Caenorhabditis elegans: one gene and its partners. The protein of the gene in region 3 purifies or fractionates together with the protein of the main gene of each other region. This does not show direct contact. Each region holds a gene or a part of one and is shown on either strand. Other genes may lie near its edges. The genes, in order: Y105E8A.11, dao-3 and lys-8.

Region 1 (3,597 bases), on a different chromosome or scaffold from region 3:
GTTTACTCTGTTTCGACGATGCAATTCGTCTGTTCCCTTTTACTTAATAAACCCTTATAAGATCGATCAGTGTGCGTGAGTGGCAGTTACATCCTATACCTTTATTCTATTAATAAAATAATTCTATTGATTTGATTTATTACCGATTAAACTCGTGATGAAATAAAATAAGAGTTGTATTGTATAAAGACATGGATAAACTAAATACATAATGTTGTACAAAAACAGTATTAAACATTCTTAGAACTATTATATTCTGACTATTTTTTGTTCAGATCGAAATTTACAGGCTTATCTTCTAGTCCGCCCTTTTTAAGACTTCACACAATTCAGGCCTATATTTCGCAAAATTCAGCAAAAAAACTGGCGTCATGGTGCATCGACTATCGATTTTTCGTAATTTTCAGCCATTTCTAACCCATTTTTCAGATATTTTCCCCTTTCTCCCAATATTTTATCTCATGTGCATCGAATCCATTGGTAAATGATCTCCTGATTAGCGCGCGCGAATTTCGATTTTTTTGCAAAAAAAGAGATCTACAATATTCAAAAAGTTCGAATTTAAAATATTCTTTACGATATTATGTCCTTTGAACTAATCAATAACTAGACAAAAAAAATCGATAATTAGTATCTAGGCGGCTTTTGTCTTGATCGTGAGCCCATGCATATCCTTAATCTGCTCCCGGAGAATGGAGGTGACCTGTTTGTGTTGAGCAACTTTCGATTTTCCCTTGAAACCGGCGGCTTCAACGACCACGTCGAACATTGATCCGCAGCCATCTGTAATATGGAGCTTGTAGTTTGTAGTGTATAGTTTGTAGTTTGTAGGGTATATTTTGGAGTTTGTAGTTAGTTTTGTATAGTTTGGAATTTATAGTGTACATTTTATAGTTTGTAGTGTTTAGCTTGTAGTTGGTCGTATACAATTTGTAGTTTGTAGTGTATAGATAGTAGTTTGTGGATATATTTTGTAGTTTGTAGTGTATGGTTTGTAGTTAGTGTTGTATAATTTGGAATTTATAGTGTACATTTTATAGTTTGTAGTGTATAGTTTATAGTTTGTAGTGTTTGGCTTGCAGTTTATATTTCGTAGTTTGTAGTTTGTAGTTTATAGTATACAGTAACTAACTTGTTTTTCATTATTTCTACCATTAATTTTGTGAGCGGAACAAAAAAATCATGAATGAATACCCCACGTATAGACTACAAACTACAAATATTAGTCTGATTATACTAGTTTATAGTATGTCTATTGTAGTTTGTAGTGTGATTATTGTAGTTTGTAGTGTATATTTTGTAGTCTGTAGTATGCCTATTGTAGTTTGTAGCGTACTCACTAGAAACATCGTGAACCTCGACACGAGTACATCCATCAATTCCCTCAGTGAGCAACTTGCTCATTTTCAGCTCGGCTTCTGACATTTTGTGCTCTCCACCACAACATGCCGAGTGACGCCTGATTGCTGAGGAGAGGAGGCCTGATCTCAGTGGGGTGGCAAGGCGGAGCATCTGAAATTTCGAGAAATGATAGCTTTTTTTTCGATTTTTTTCAGATTTGGAGAGAAAAAAAAACAAGAAATTTCACATTTAAACAAAAAATTTGTTATTTTTTCAAATTCTCGAGGTTTTTATAAATTCTGAAAAATGCCGAAAATTCGTAATTTTAGCTTTTTTAGTTTAAAAATTAGAAAAAAAATTGAAATTTTCGAAAAAAAATCAATAAATGTTCTATTATATATTATTATTATATATTTTATATATTATTAAATATTATTATATTATTATATACTATTATATATTATATAATAAATGTTACATTTGTTCTATTTTTCAAAAAAGTAATTAAATTTTTTTTTTTCGAAAAAATTTTCAAAAAATTCAAACTTTTTTAAAGATTTTCTAGAATTCAACTTCGACAAAAATTCGTAATATTTGAAAATTCCAAAAAATTACCAGAAAATGCTTTAAAAGTTAAAATATTTATCTAGTTAATTAGAAAGTATTCCTTTAGCGAAATATTCAAAAAAAACTTTTTTTAATCAAATTTTTCAAATTTTACATTCAAAAAGTCACCTGCAATGCATAATTTACATTACATGAAATTGAATTTTTTTGATTTTTTTCCCAATTATTAAGCTTTTAAAAATTAGCTTAAAAATACAGATTGTCAACATTTTTCAGAATTTTTTTGTTGAAAAAATGCGAATTTTCTCAAAAAAAAAAATCAGTTTCAAAATTGTGAAAAAAAAATTCTAAATGGTTTTTTTTTAAATTTAAGCTTCCGTGATTACTATAACATTTTCAAAAAATTGAGGAAAAAATTCAAAAAATGTTTTTAATTTTTCAAAAAAAAAAGCTCATCCTAAAAAACACCGTAATTAGCTAACTTTTTCAAGAAATTCAAATTTTTTTTCCAAAAAAAAAAAAAAAGGCAAATAGCATAAATTGATATCCTAAATGGACAACAGAAAATATAAAAATCAGAAAAAATTTTTCAAAAAAATACTTGTATTGCATTGTAAAAACGTCATTGCACAATCGAAAATTCGAAAAATAAAAGACCACGTAAAATACAAAAAATCGGGAAAATATCCAAAAAAATCAGTTAAAAAGTACAATTATCGTAGTGTAGCAATCTTTGGAATACTCCTCTCATCATGATAATCACTAACATATCCTAAACTCGAACCATCTTCACTTGTATCCCCTAATATTCGTTGTTTCTGTACTTGAATTGCTGCTTCGGATTCCGGAACAACTTTTTCATTTTTCACCAAATTCGGCAATTTTTCTTCACTCGTATTCATTCCACAATGCTTTTTTAGTGACCATTGCATTGCCCAAATCGATAGAGGACGCATGTAACCAATGGCTCGGTAGAATCTGAAATTCGGATATTTTAGGATTAATTTTTGGGATTTTTTAAAGAAAAAATGTTTGGAAATAAAAAAAAAATTCCAAAATTATTGTTTTTTTGGATATGAATTTTTTGTTTCTATTTTTAAAAATAAATTTCCATTTTTTGGAATTAGTTTTATGAATTTTTGCTTTTTTGAATATCCAAATTTTTCTGGAATCAAAAAAAAAAAAGTTTTAATGTTTTTTTTTAATTTTTTGTAAAGTTTCAAACTTTTTTTTTTGGGATTACGAGTATTTTTGGAAGTTTGAAAAAATAATTTTTGATTTTTTTGGATTTTTTTCTAATTTTTGAATTTTTTTTGGGATTTTTTTTAGAAATGTGTGGAAAATTTTTTTTTTTTTTTTTTGGAAAAATCTATTAAAAAAAACAAATTTCAGTTTTTTTTTTCAACAAATTTCTTTTCCTCACAATTTTTTCGATTTTCAGTTTTTCGAGTTCAAAATTCGGGAAATTTAAATTTATCGTTTAATGTTTTATAAAACGTATTATATGAACACTAAATATGCGTGTTGCACAACACATTTAACGCGCAAAAAATATCTCGTAGCGACAACTATAGTAATTCTTTAAAATGCTACTGTACTGCTTATGTGGATTTACGGTAATAATTTATTTCACGATCAAATATGACTTACGAAAACTCGAAAAAAAAATTCAATCCGAAAATCGAGCCC
Region 2 (3,760 bases), on a different chromosome or scaffold from region 3:
CTGTACAGTCACAATGGATCTTAGCTCTTGGTTTGAATTCACAATGTACGACGCGGTCTTCCTTGTCGTCGTTCTCGGATTCTTTTTCTACTGGCTCACCAGATCCGAGCAACCGCTCCCAGCTCCACCAAAAGAAGTAAGTATTTGATTAGCTTCTTTAATGAACATGTATTTTTTCTAAATCCTGAACTTAAGCTCGCCCCATTGCCAATGTCCGATATGACAGTTGAAGAGCTGCGCAAGTACGATGGTGTCAAAAATGAGCACATTCTGTTTGGACTCAACGGAACTATCTATGACGTGACTCGCGGAAAAGGATTTTACGGACCAGGAAAAGCCTACGGTACACTTGCCGGGCATGACGCTACCCGCGCGCTTGGAACCATGGACCAGAATGCTGTTTCTAGCGAGTGGGATGATCATACTGGAATCTCTGCTGACGAGCAGGTAGGCTATGCAGTTTTCTCATGAGTAAGAACGTGAAAGTTCGTTATAAACATTTAATCCTTAAAGTCATTGTTTTATGATTTGTGGTATTTATTCATAACTCAGGCATAAACCATAACTTTTTTGTGTCATCAATATGACATCGAAGCTAATTCAAATGTATATTGCCTCGGTCAGATTGATTGTGAACAAAAAAACCTAAATTGATTTTTACAGGAAACCGCCAACGAATGGGAGACACAGTTCAAATTCAAGTACTTGACTGTTGGACGTCTGGTAAAGAATAGCTCGGAAAAAGCAGATTATGGAAATAGAAAATCGTTTGTTCGTGGAGCCGAGTCTTTGGATTCGATTATCAATGGTGGCGACGAGGGCACAAAAAAGGATAACTAATTGTATTCAAATCCATAATTGTTGCACATTCCAAAACGGTTACATCTTATTTTATGTTCTTTGTATGATATGAAATCCCATTGTCCATCCCTTCTCACCATCTCTCGCAAATTTTATATAAATACTGTGATTTAGTTGTTTTTCAAATCGAAGAATGATTTTGAATAAATGATTTTTGTGTACGCCTTTGAAAAATGTTAATATTTAATATTTACTTCATTATTTTCACTGTTCAATTGCTCCGATAATTTGGATTGTGCAGGTTTTAGGACATTATTGATAAGACTTGTTTTCTTCATTTTAAATCATTTGAAAAAAACATTTGAGAATAACATGTTTTGATTTCTGGTTAATAGAAATAGACACTTTTTAAAAATCAACGTTTCCCAGTTTATAAGAAAAATAATGAGTTTCACATTCAAATTTGCAAGGTAAGAAGTTTTCATGATAAGATCCCAGTCCCATTGTAGTCAAAATGTTGATATGATTATTGTTTTTATCTCGGCAAATTGCTGGGTAAAAAGAGATTTTGCGTCGTATGGATGCCGATAAGATTTCTGTGTTATGCGCGCGCATTGCATGCAAGGCCAGCCGCCGACTGTTATCGATTTTCATGGTCCGCCGCCACGCGTTCGTATTGGACATTTCTGCACTGTGTCCATTATTTTGATATATTGTTAACATATAAGGCAGCAAAAACTTTCAAAAGTATTATTTTCATGTGACAAAAATTGAATTTTGTTCCTTGATACACTGTTTTCATTTTCAAGCAAACATGTTTAATGCGGAAGCTTTGACATCGAAACTGTCGGTGGAACATGTATTTTCCATGAGAATGTCGCTGACAAGCAACTCTAGTCACTCGACACATAAAATCATAGCGATCTTCAGCATAAGATAACAAGGCCAGGCCGTTTTAAAACTCTTCTCATCACTCCCCCACAAACAACAGACCGCTATGCATATTCAACTTTTTCGACGCTTTATTTTTTCACTCTGTCCCCCACCATCGAAATGTGAATATGTGCTAAGTTTCCAATCAGCTTGTCCTCTGACTTCTGCACTAGTCTCTTCCCATGAATAGCCAAGTACAAGAGGAGTTTCGTACTCTTTTCCTTTACTCTTCCCCTTCTTGTTTTCTTGACGTATTTTTCAACTTGATTATTACTTTGTTTATTTTTTAGAATGGTCGCGGAGATCGTCAGTGGACTCGAGTACTCAAAAAAGGTTCTTCACGATGTCGGACAGAAAATCGCAAAAACCCGTGAGCACCACCCAAATTTTCATGCAGTATTGGCAATTGTTCAGGTATGAAAGCTTACCACTGATAATAATTTTATTTCAAGCATTGCTATTAACTTAATAATATTTCTAAATTGAATATATGAAAATGAAAATCTCTGTCCAATCTGTGTTTTGAGTTCATGACGTACATAAGTGCATTGCATACTTACAAAACAGATTTTGAAAGTTTTGCAGAGCGTAATTTGTAGTTGTGGTGTACTTTTGAGATACCGGCTTTTATTTCGTAACAAGACAAATAATATCCGAGGGGATATCTGTTATACTGAATAACTCAAAGTCTCAAAATTTGCAGGTTGGAAATCGTTCAGACTCCAATGTGTACATTAATTCCAAACTGAAAAAAGCAAAGGAAATCGGAGCAGATGGAAAACTCATTAAGTTGCCAGACACCATCACTCAAGGAGATTTGAAGCGAGAGATTATGGCTCTTAATCATGACAACGAGATTGACGGAATTATCATTCAGGTTAATATAACGGATTAAGTTGTAATATTGAAATGTTAACTTATAACGGAAAAAAAACACATCTCAGTTAATTAAAAAAAAACATCGGAAGCTAAACAATAATAGCAAGTTATTAATTTCAGCTTCCACTGGACTGCAAGCACGAAATCGACGCAGACTCTGTTATCGACTTGATTGACCCATTGAAAGATGTCGATGGACTGACTCGTATCAATGCTGGACGTTTGGCTCGTGGAGAACTCCAGCGTACGATCTTTCCTTGCACTCCGTTTGGATGCTTGTACTTGGTTCAACAGGCAACTGGTGATGCCAACTTTGTGTCTGGAAAGGAGGTGGTTGTTTTGGGACGCTCGAAAATTGTCGGATCTCCAGCCGCTGCGCTTTTCTTGTGGCATCATGGAACTGTGACAATCTGCCACTCAAAAACTCCAAATCTCAAGGAGAAATGCCTGAGAGCAGATATTTTGATTGTGGCAATTGGGAGAAAACATTTCGTCAAAGGTAGATTATCAATAAACCTAAATTTGAGATAGTGCACAGTACTGGCCATACAGATATCAAAAGATTGATTTCAACTTCAGCAAACGTGGTTATTCCGAGCTGAGATCTGACTATAGTAAAATAGTGAAAGTTTTTATATCCTGATTTTTTGGAATTCATCATTGAACAAATTTCGCGTTGCTTTTTTCATAATTACGCCCAAATCCATTTAAAAGAAGAATCTTGGCAAAAGTTATTACGAGTAGACCTTTATATGAGCAGCACGGTATTTACTTGCTAACCTAAAAGTTTGTAAGTCATTAAATTATGCAAAATATCTATAATAGAAACCCCAATTTAAGAACTATCAATGTTTAGTATGCACCTGACTGTTTGCAACTTCTGAATTGTTTTGCATCAAATAGAAACAGACTCTCTGTTCTGATAAGTGTCAGCGTTTTTTACAAATAAAAGCATATATTTCAGCTGATTGGATCAAGCCTGGCGCATTCGTCATCGACTGTGGAATCAACGTTGGTGACGACCCAAACTCACGCAAAATTTACGGAGATGTTGACACAGAAGCCGCAAAGGAAGTCGCCGGATTCCTCACACCTGTCCCCGGAGGCGTTGGACCAATGACTGTTGCCATGCTCATCCGTAACACAT
Region 3 (3,760 bases):
AAACACGTTCGTTGAAGTCAAAGAAGACAATACGAATATCAAAATGGAAAAGGGAACGGACTCGGAAATAGATATAGAAAATTAGAGCCAAGCTCGCATTGTTTTGTTGTTATTTGTTTTTAGATTCTCGTGTTTTGTTTTTTTGTAATAAACTTTATTTTCAGATTTTCATAACATATTGGGGGTACAGTTAGATACAAAATATAAGTAGTCAAATTCCACTTATTTTCGGAACTGATAAAATCTATTGACTTCCTTGAATGAATCCTCCAGCGTAGATCTTTCCATCCTCTTCAACAGCGTCAGCGGCCTTGAGCATAGTTCCAGCAGCATAAACATCTCTGTTGACAGTGAACTGGCAAACTTGCTCAACTTGAGCGAATTGTTTGACAGATGGAGTAGTCCAGCATCCGAACGCGCGGAAATCAGCAAAACTGGCCGGGGTCTCTCCATTGACACCACCTCCAAGGACATTCCAGTACCAGAGGAGAACATCATTTCCAATGCTGCTCCATCCGTTGGTGATCTGGTTCCAGTCGTAGTAGGAAGTGTAGATTCCGACAGTCATTCCATATTGCTGTAAATTATATGAATTTTGATATGAAATTTGTTGCAGAAGTATGAACTAATCGGTTCAGTTTAAAAACGTCTTAACCCAAAGGTCTTATCAGATTAATCAATGTTTTAGACTATAATACGAATCATTCGAGTTTTCGTATTTGAATGTATTTCAATTCCTTGAGCAAAAAATCAAGCTTCTACAGGAAACTTACTCTAGCTCTTGACACAATACTGTTGATAAAGTTGACATTGTTATTAGCATTGCTTGGCCAGTTGGTTGGAGAAGTGACCTGGATCCATACAGATCTGATTGTTATTCCTCTTGCAGTCAATCCTTGGTAGATCTCATCCAATTGTTGGTATCCTTGCTTGCTTGAAGCCGGCTGTGGAGTCATGTAGATCTCTGTTCCGAGTCCAGCGTTATACGCATTCTGAATAGTATTGCAGGAGTTGGTGTCGAAGGATCCTTGTCCAGCTGGGTTGTATGCACTGGAAATTCGATTTAATTGTTATGGAGTTTTAGAAAATGTTCATCAAATTATGAACGTTTGGAATCGAAAAATGAATTAATCAGAAACGAAAGCAGGCAAATGTTTGCCCAAGTTTGGCCAAAAATATTAAAAAGGTTCTGAAGTGACAATACATGACCAGAACTTGTTCTGGTTTAGCTCAAGTTTAATTCAACTGTTGACAATATCTTTACACTTGGGCCAACCTTGGGCAAAAAAAGATTCAACTTTTTTTTATAAATAACAATTTATAGATAGGTAAATCATAAAATCTTTTTCAATTCTTACCGGACAAAGACTGCCGAATAACCAGCTTGTTTGAGGCACTGAAGCTGGCTCAATGAAACTGGAACAGACAAATCAACAGCGAAAGCATATGAAGCCAAATTTGGTGGAACTCGTGGAGCAGCCTCAGCAATGACTTCTCTGAATTTGACTGGAAGAGATGAGTCAACGAATGGAAGGACCTTGACGGAGACTGAAGCCGAATGGCAAAGTACTGCCAGTACTGACAAAAGAGCCACTGATTTGAGAAGCATTCTAGAAAATGTTCAACTTGAATGAGTTAAGAGAAAATTATTAACAAAAAGAACAAAGAATAAGAAACCAAATTTTATAAAAATCAAATACTAAACCGAAATGTTGAAGAAACTGGAGTGGTTATCATGATTTATAGTCTTTATCAAAGAGCTGGCAAGTACCGCTTGTCCATCTGAATTTATAATTTCGGAAAACATTATCATGATATCACACTCTGTTATCAGTAACTGTGTACACACTTTTATGTCATTAATGTCGATGAAAAGAACATCACAAATTATGTGGAATACCGGTAATTGAGCGTGGGCGTTTTGATGATTTTTTCTAGGTTCAAATTCTCGTAAATGACAATTTGTTGTCTTTTATTAAATTGATAGTTCATAAGTGAACACAATTTTTTTCTGACTAACAGATAGTGGTAAGATTTTCAAAGCGATTATGCATATGTTTTACGTTCAACTTTGACCATAACAGCGAAGAAAATTGAAAGTTCTTGAAAACTAGAACTGTAAAATGTATGATATTCTCCTTCAGCACTATACCAATTCTTTTATACAAAAATCCCATTTGCAGCTGAATAAACATTCTCCTTCTTGTTCCATAATTTTTCCCATTTCACTATATTTTTACCGTTTAACATGTCTGTTTAAACTGTACTAACATCCAACGATAGCCCCTGTGAGCAATCCAATTGTTTAAAAATCATTAATCTATTTTTAATGTGAATTCAATTAGTCGAGATTTGTCTTTGGATGGAATAAAAACGAAGATGACGAGTTTAAGAAGTGATGTCATTTCCAGAGGAACAGAGAGTAAAGAATTCGAATTGTTGAAACAGCTGAAATTGTAGATCCATTTCGAGATCAATTTAGTATTTGATAATGAAAAGTGACGTGTCTGTCTATTCATTGAACAAATAACAAAAACGATAAATTTTAGTCCTGAAGCCAATTATTGGTATTTTCTAAAAACTTTGAAGATTTTTGATCCATTATTAATTTCAACTAATTCTTGGCCAAATTGTTGAATTCTTCAGTTAACGTATATTTACTTAACTTTAAAGTGGCTTCAATTATATCCAGGGACCTCTTTAGGCTCTCCTACCTACATTGGGTTTTCAGTATTTTAGTTTCCATCCGTACTTGCCTGCCACATGTCTACCTTCATGCCTGTCGTCGATGTTCTGTATTTCTTTCGTGATCCTACTGCCCGCCTGCCTGTCTATGTGCCTACCGCCTATTTCATTACTTTTAATATTATGCCACATTTTGATGTTCCAGATATCATATAGCTTGTTCTATATCCAATGTTCCTTTGAAAATTGAAAAATCAGAAATTCAATGATATCGTAAAAAAACGAATATATATTCTTTTTTAGCTTCTTCCTGTATTTACTTATGTTTTTTCCTTCTGAATACACACACATTTCTCTCTCACTTTATTATCATAAATCATCATAAAAAAATCATTGGTGACGTCAAAGTTTACATTTTTGGAGGTGCTGTGAAGAATTGTTGAAAGTCGAAGTTCTCGGTGTGATATGAAGACTTTGGAGGTTGTCGTTCAGCGATTTGATGCCAAGTGAAAGCGGATGTACGATGGAAAAACTGAAATGATAATTTGTGTAAATAAATAATATATTCAAAAAAAACTAACGCTCAACTCGACGAAAGCACTTTGAATTTCTCCGAGATGCAATATTTTGGCATTCACATACTTTTCCTTGATGAACTTCGAAATCGCTTGAGCACTTTCATCGCGAACACTTTGGGTTTCCGGCTTCTGTTGTTTGACAACCTTCAGCAGATCTCTCTTCATATCCACATACTGAAAAGTGAAACTTTATGGTTACATTTATGAAAAACTTCTGAAGAAACTAGAGCTTTGAATATTGATTCCTGATAACAAACCTTTGGATATTGACCGTAAAGAAACTTTTTGACTCTTTTGAGATGCTTGGGCCCTCGAGTCTGCAAGTTTCTTTCAGCTGATGCCAGAACGACCGCATTCTTTGCAATTGCATCGTTCATTGCTGGTTGCAACTTTGTGTCCGTTTTCCAGTTGTTTTGAGTCAACTGTACTTCCTTGTTCAGCTTCTCCGCTGCCGTTTGTCCTTTCTCGCTTACAATGTTCTAAAATATGTGTGGTTG

What was found.
Region 1: the proteins of lys-8 (region 3) and Y105E8A.11 fractionate together in Caenorhabditis elegans (co-fractionation; one large-scale study listed by BioGRID). This does not show direct contact.
Region 2: the proteins of lys-8 (region 3) and dao-3 fractionate together in Caenorhabditis elegans (co-fractionation; one large-scale study listed by BioGRID). This does not show direct contact.

The regions. Positions count from the first base shown.
Region 1 is NC_003279.8:14,430,708-14,434,304, reverse strand, and holds Y105E8A.11 (BolA-like protein 3), read right to left. Parts: upstream 1,515-3,597; 5' UTR 1,513-1,514; coding exon 1,341-1,512; intron 784-1,340; coding exon 635-783; 3' UTR 555-634; downstream 1-554. Other genes in the region: hpo-13 (Non-lysosomal glucosylceramidase), read right to left, coding at 2,622-2,886.
Region 2 is NC_003284.9:8,084,815-8,088,574, reverse strand, and holds the start of dao-3 (C-1-tetrahydrofolate synthase, cytoplasmic), read left to right. Parts: upstream 1-2,024; 5' UTR 2,025-2,025; coding exon 2,026-2,148; intron 2,149-2,437; coding exon 2,438-2,611; intron 2,612-2,733; coding exon 2,734-3,112; intron 3,113-3,577; coding exon 3,578-3,760. Other genes in the region: Protein vem-1, read left to right, coding at 14-136, 196-447, 664-840.
Region 3 is NC_003280.10:5,584,028-5,587,787, reverse strand, and holds lys-8 (LYSozyme), read right to left. Parts: upstream 1,611-3,760; 5' UTR 1,610-1,610; coding exon 1,359-1,609; intron 1,051-1,358; coding exon 774-1,050; intron 578-773; coding exon 245-577; 3' UTR 137-244; downstream 1-136. Other genes in the region: C17G10.13 (THAP-type domain-containing protein), read left to right, coding at 1-85.